Tribolium castaneum: one gene and its partner. The protein of the gene in region 1 interacts with the protein of each later gene in a biochemical or structural test. Links are inferred from orthologs where the notes say so. Each region holds a gene or a part of one and is shown on either strand. Other genes may lie near its edges.

What was found.
Region 2: the proteins of dock (region 1) and Ptp61F form a complex in vitro, tested with the Drosophila melanogaster proteins (2 studies listed by BioGRID, with this or other methods). The link is inferred for Tribolium castaneum from reciprocal best matches to the Drosophila melanogaster genes dock and Ptp61F.

Annotation. Positions count from the first base shown.
Region 1 is NC_087398.1:11,595,640-11,599,442, forward strand, and holds part of dock (SH2/SH3 adapter protein dreadlocks), read left to right. Parts: intron 1-1,211; coding exon 1,212-1,907; intron 1,908-3,803. UniProt on the Drosophila melanogaster protein: Adapter protein that links cell surface receptor tyrosine phosphorylation to downstream signaling pathways and effectors, many of which are involved in regulation of the actin cytoskeleton.
Region 2 is NC_087394.1:35,291,937-35,295,189, reverse strand, and holds the end of Ptp61F (tyrosine-protein phosphatase non-receptor type 61F), read left to right. Parts: coding exon 1-156; intron 157-274; coding exon 275-472; intron 473-680; coding exon 681-802; intron 803-850; coding exon 851-1,052; 3' UTR 1,053-2,615; downstream 2,616-3,253. UniProt on the Drosophila melanogaster protein: Non-receptor protein tyrosine phosphatase. Required for maintaining dock/dreadlocks in its non-phosphorylated state. Negative regulator of InR/insulin-like receptor signaling through dephosphorylation of tyrosines when recruited by dock/dreadlocks.

The DNA of each region.
Region 1 (3,803 bases):
ACCAAATAATTTTAAAAGTAATAAAACACTCGACACTTCTGTGTCTTATTTGGCAATTTTTTCTACACTCAAAAAGAAAGACATCTCTATTAACAATAGTGTGGCGTACATTAATAAAAAATAGTATGAGAAATCACATAGTAAAAAATGAAACGAAAGTAATAATTCCATTTAAAAATTAACCTACACGTAGGGCAGAACATCCGAATTAGTAATAAATTTAAACTTGCATTTTGTGCAATTTCTTGCATTAATTTGAGAAGAGGCTGCGTTAAAATAAAGCGAAAATATCATGCTTAAATCTCAGTTTTATTACGAATAGTCATTCACTTTTTTAACTAAACAAGAAGAAATATTTGAAACATCAATATTCGAGGAAATAGGTATTAGCTTAGATATTTCTTAGATATTATCAGCTGTTTCAAAACTATAAAAACGCGAGTGTCGCATTTTAAAGAATATTTTTTTAAATAAGATTGATAAAAATATAAAATAGTTATTAATGAAATTATAAATTTCTCATCGAAATTATAAATTACATTAACTATTAATTTTTTTAAGTTTAAGTGCATAAATAATTTATAACAATGCGACGTTGGCGTTTTTATAATTTTGAAACAGCTAATAGCTATATAGTTTGTTTTGATAAGATTCCATGAAGTCGGTAAAATTTTAATTGTGGAGTCATAAGGTGAAAATATAAAATATTATTTTTTTTATAAAATTTATAAAGGCTATTCAGTTATTTGAATTTTTGTGCAATTTTTTGTATTAATTTATTAATTAATTTCTGCGTTAAATAAAGCCAAAGTAGCATATTTAAGCCTCAGTTTCATTAATTGTCTATTATTTGAACTTAAAACAAAAGATATTTGTTAAAAAAAACGAAATATTTGAGGAAATATTTAGTTTAGTTTAGTTATTTTGTGTACGTGTTGAATACAAGATGTTTTTTCACGAGTGCCTGGACCACCACATTGACTTAAAAATTGCTTAATTATGAACAGACGTCATGCTCACTTTTGATAAGATGCCATAAGCGATCATTTGTTCCGAATTCTTGAGTTATATTTTCATTTATTTATAATTTAACCGATAAATGGCGTTTTTCTCGGCATTTTTGAGCACATCCTAAGTGATTTCTCCAAGCCGCTATTTGTAATTTCATTTGCGCCTTGCTTCCGTTTAAATAAATTTGGTTCCGTCGGCAGGTAAAAAAGGGCGCCGGCTCTAAAACCCTCCCTTCGAATAACTCTCCCTCCCGGACGGTGGAATCCCCCAGTATGGCGCGTCGTCAAGCCGCCGATCCCTCCGAAGCCATCGGCACCGCCGTCGTCAAGTACAATTATCAAGCCCAACAACCCGACGAACTTTCCCTCGTCAAAGGTTCCCGAATTCTCATCTTGGAGAAGAGCAACGACGGCTGGTGGCGAGGTCAGAGCGGGAACGTCGCCGGCTGGTTCCCTTCGAACTACACCCAGGAGGAGGGCGACGCCGACGATACCCTTCACACGTACGCGATGGCAGAAAACGTGCTAGATATCGTCGTGGCGTTGTATTCGTTCTCGTCGACAAACGACCAGGAGTTGTCTTTTGAAAAGGGCGACCGATTGGAGATTTTAGATCGGCCTCCGAGTGATCCCGAATGGTACAAAGCGAGGAATGCGCAAGGACAGGTCGGCTTGGTGCCGAGGAATTACCTGCAGGAGTTGTCCGAGTATTTGACTCAGCCGTTTCTCGACCGAAAACAGGAGCCGATGGAGAGGTCGCAAGTGGCAATGGGCGATAAACCCCATCTGGTGGACAAGCCGTGGTATTATGGGAGTATCACGAGGTATATGTGTGATAATCTCCTGAATCAGAGAGGACACGATGGGGATTTTCTCATCAGGGATAGTGAAACGAATGTAAGTACAGTTGAACCTCTATAGCCCGAACTACGACACGACATACAAATAAAACGGCCCAGTTCCGTTATCGTTATAGTCTTTAAATCGAAATGTTATGGAAAAGCTTAAAAATGTTTAGTCAAAGAATTAAAAACAATTAAATTTCAATAAATTCTCAAGAGTAAGGGATGAAGGTGATGCAGTCGAAAAATATATTAACACTACGAAGACAAATGTTGGGTAAAAAGTAGCCACAAATAATTTTTTTGTTGATAATTTTAAAACGTCTCTTTAAGAAAAACGAAAAATTGGCAAAACAACTATAGTTTGTGAAAAATGTAATCGACAAGCTGAAAAAGAATTAGAGTAAAATGTTGTATTAAAAACTGTGTCTTTTTATAAAATAAGACCAAATAAGTACTATTTTATACGTTTAGTTAACGAATTTGAACATAAAATTATAATTTTTAAAATATGAGTGGTTGGGTATTTTGTAGCCAACTTTGGTGTATAACAATTTACTGAAAAAACTTCCTAGGAATAAAAACAAAATTTATGCTTTTATCAATTTACGCACTATCCCGTATCAAAAAAAGTGTAAGAAATTTGTAAAAAGTCAGCAAAACTGTTTCTCTACAGCCACTAAGACCTTAAACGTTCAAGCTAGTTGAACATAAGATTCCCTGAGGAATTTTAAATTAATTGAGTCATGATAAAAGTTAGGGAATTCCTCACCGAATTTTACTTTTTCTTTTAATTTGATTGTCGATAAAATGCACTAATTTTACCTCTGACTATGTATTAGTCTTTAGTTTAGAGGAGACTAAAGCACCTACTTATAATAAAATAATAAAGATAATAAATAATGATAATAAAAAATGTTCCGCCAGAGTTTTATAAGTTTATTTTTAGAAGATTAGAAACTTTATTTAAGTGTCAAAAAAGTTGGAAAAAAACAGAAATTAAGTATTAAAATCTGGTGACTTAAGACACATTTTATATTAATTCCTACAGCAGGGACATAATTTTTATTGCAATAAATTCCATTCCGAAATACGTAAAACACTTAAAATTGCACAAAAAAGCTAAGGAGAAGTTAACTAAACGTTGATCTTAAATATTGTTCTAAATTTGCTGTTGTAAAATCTGTCCTTTTTTCTGTAAGAATTCATCTCTACCTAAAAAATGAATTCATTGTATGGAATTACCGCTAGAAATATATATTACTAAAATCACGCACCTGTGTATTACGATTATTTTTTATTCAATTAATATTTCTATTTTTGGTTAGATTTTTATATCCATAATTATTTTATACAATTTGTCACTAACTAATTTTTCCACTCCTGAAGTACTTTTTTCACGTGTTCAATGGCTTCAACAAGTTACAGGTTTTTTTTGCTATTTTATAAATAGCATAAACTAAAATTTTAAAGTGAGAAAGTAAATAACATTTCAAAATGGCTTGACTAAAATACTCGTAATGCTATGCTTTTGCAACGGCTCATGAATCTTTAGTAATAAAAGGCAGTGCAACATTAAAAAATAATACGACCAGTATTTCCAACTGAAAAGTAGAAAAATAAAAAATTCAAACACTGACATTCTAAGAAACTTTAACGCTTCGAAACTAAAAAGATAAAATGAACTGAGACTGAAATTCTGAAGAATAAGTGAATAAGTGAAAAACTAATTGAAAAGCTGAAAAACTTAGAAACTGAAAAGATGAAATACAAAAAAACTAAAAACCAGTGAAATTAAAATTCCAGTTCTGTAGAACTAGAAAGAGTGAGAAATGAAAAAGTATAAAACTGCAAAATAAGAAACATTAAGAAATTATAAAACTGAAATTATGTATAAGATAATAGAATCACAAAAAATTATGAAAAATTTGGAAAATGGATTTGGAAATGG
Region 2 (3,253 bases), on another chromosome or scaffold:
AAATTTGGCCTAAATTCCGTAGACGTAAAAGAAATTTTGTGTGAGATGCGAAGTTATCGCATGGGACTGATTCAAACGCCCGAACAACTAAGATTTTCATATCAAGCAATCATTGAAGGTGCAAAACAACTACTCAATCCAGATTCGAGCCCTACGGTAGGTGGAAATAAAGAAAACCTTTCCTATTTTTCCACTTTTCCAGACTCATCCTTGAACTATCCCTCCTATTATCCAAATTCCAAGCACAAAACTTGAAAATTGAATTAATTATTAGGAAAATCATATAATCGTGGATAATGAACCGGAAGACGGAGTTGCATCCGATTCGGACGATGACGGACCGCCTCCTCTCCCACCACCCCGGTTAGACAGTCTGAAGAAACAAAACGGTACTCCTTTAGACAGGCCGCTTCCAAATATCCCCAAGAGCATCTCCTTGAACGAGTTTAGTTACGAAGGCGATAGTGATGAGGTAAGTCAAGTGGGCTGTTTTGTGACACGTTTTAAATGTCTGTTGTGTTAAAAATGAAACTAAATTTTACGTAATTAAATAACAAAATGCTGTTGCGTTCCATGAGGCAAATTAGTTTTGTCAGTCCCGACGACAATTTGAGACTTCCTCGCGTACGAAGCAACTTTACGCTTTGTCGCAATTATTTTCAGTGGTGTTTTTATTGTAGTACATTCCGACCGGTCCGTTGCCTGTGGTTCCCGGTGACGAAGAAGAGGGCTCTAGTGAAGATGAGTTGGAGGATTTGCGTTCCGATAGTCCGTGTTCGGAGCCTGTGAGCCCCTCAGACAGGTAAAACAGCCCCCTTGCAGTTGGGAGTGAATCAATGAGTAATTTTAGTTTGTCGGCGTCCGAGTTGAGGCATCGCAAACGCGTGGAGCAAAGAGAAAAGTTGGAGGCCCAAGTGAGAGACATGAAACGGCGGCAGCAAGCCAACGAGCAGTGGACACAACTGAAGAGGTCTCTATACAAACCTTTATTTATAGCGGGCGCTATTGTTTTGGGCGGGGGCCTCATTTCCTATTTTTATTTTAAAAATTAAACAGAAAACAAGACATGTGTGTTAAGTCTATTAATGGTGAGAGCTGTTTTTGATTGGTTATCCGAGTTTCTCGACACGTACCCGGTTCAACGTTATAGTTTTTAAATTTTATGTATATTAGTCACAACTGTTTTTGGTAGCACTGATGGACTTTATTTCAAAGTTGTAATGAGAAACGGACCCTTGGTATATCACAGTTTCTGGATTACATATCAAGCTATTGTCTTATTATCTATTATGTTTTATTGAGGATGTAGCGATTTTTTTGTAATATTTATTTGCGTAAATCTTTACGATTCATGTTGGGAGTAAATGTTTTTAATGTTACCACGGATTTGAGAGCTTTTCCATTAAAACGCCATTACATCACACATCTGCAGCAGTTTTTGTTTATTTTAACATTTTCATTACTAATTTATTGCCACTCGGGTGGGATTAACATTAAAAATCATTTAGCCACAACTGGGGAACGATTACGGTCCTAAATACTGGGATGCGACACAATAAAAAATGCGTATTTGACGGTGAGTACAAGACAGTACAGGCAAATAGAGCATCACATTCTCAATAGTAAGACGTAAAAATTGCTCGAAAACTAACCAATTTGCGCACCCCGCCCCCAAAACGCTGCGAATACGGTTGAAGATACAAAAAAACATAAGGAAAAAAGTTGTAAAGAATTAAAAAAAAAGACTCAGAGACCATATCTTTATCTTCAACCCTTTCGGTTTAAATTGCTTTGAATGAGTTTTTCTTAGCTTATTAAGAATTTGATGCTCGATGTTCTGCCTGTGGTGAATTTAAATTAATTGAAAACAACTCGCCCCCATTTTTATTCGGGTACCGAAAATCGAGTTTTGTATCACATTCCTGGTATTTAGTTTAATTTGTGAAATTGAGTACTTTTAATTGCATTTCACTTCCTTTAATCATTGTGTAAGTAGGTATATATGCTGTATCGAGAGTGTAGAAGAAAAATATAACTTGTAGTGGAACGAGTGGGTAAGAAAAAGACTGAGAGATTACCGCCAAGCATTCCTTTTTGTTACGTGATCAAAAGTTTAATATTTTGGTGGTAGTCGTAACATGTTGAGTTGGTTTCGCATTCACTGAATGGTCATAGTTTTATATGTGTGGATTCATATAAGACTTGATGTTGAGTGATGGCTGACACAAGTTTTCCATCGGAACACTTGTGTAGGCCATCATGAATTACAGTAGGTACGTCTTATTGGTTTATTAATCAAATTACAGGGTGCTTATTGACAAAATTGATGCACAAAGCATTTTTACCAATTTATAAGAGTTTTCTATCTTCAGAAAAACGAGACAAAATTTTCTAAGGATTTTATACCTTATTTACACATTCCTTTTAAGTGCCTACGAAATGCTGTTATAACTGCGTCGACAATATGAATTTGATTGTGTTGTTACTATGATTTAAATTAGAATGTGACAATCGGTTTGAAGTTTGTTTATATCTGGACCGCCGATTATTTGTGATTGATTAATATTTTCTCAAGAATTTTATGGATATTCAATAAATACATTGAAAAATTATAACAGATTGTTTAATATACCTGAGTTTCTTCTTTCAGGGCTAAAACTTCACTTCAAGACTGACATTTGAACTTTTTCTGGAGAAGACTGGACTTTGATACATTCAGATTAGTTGAAGATAAGTTCTGCGGTCTTACTTTTTAGTAAAACTAGTCAAAATTTCTAGGTATGTTCGTCTTACTAGCATGTTAAGTATCTGATTGTTTGCGCCATTGCGATGTCAATTTTCGCGTTAGCTGTTGTAATCGCCTGGTTTTATACATAGTTAGCAGAAGCGCAGCTAATTGTCCAAAAATTGCCATCCTGTATTAACTAGCGTTTTGTACCCAAATGTGCAACGATATACTCTAAAAAATAGTTAGTGTCCCTCGTTTTATAAAACATTTGAAACAAAAATGTCAATCTAAATTTGTCACAATAGTGTACTGTGTAATGGTATTGTTCTCTTTATACATAACTGTAACAGCCACGTTGTTAGTACAAAGTTTTAATAGTGCCGGAAGAACTAACTTTCAAATTTATGCGAATCCTCTCCAGGAGTATCAACGAATTGCCTTTCCGCAATCAAAAGATAGTGTAAGACCATTTGTAAGCAATAAAAATGATGTTTTTAATAGAGCCTTATTCATTAAGAACACGAA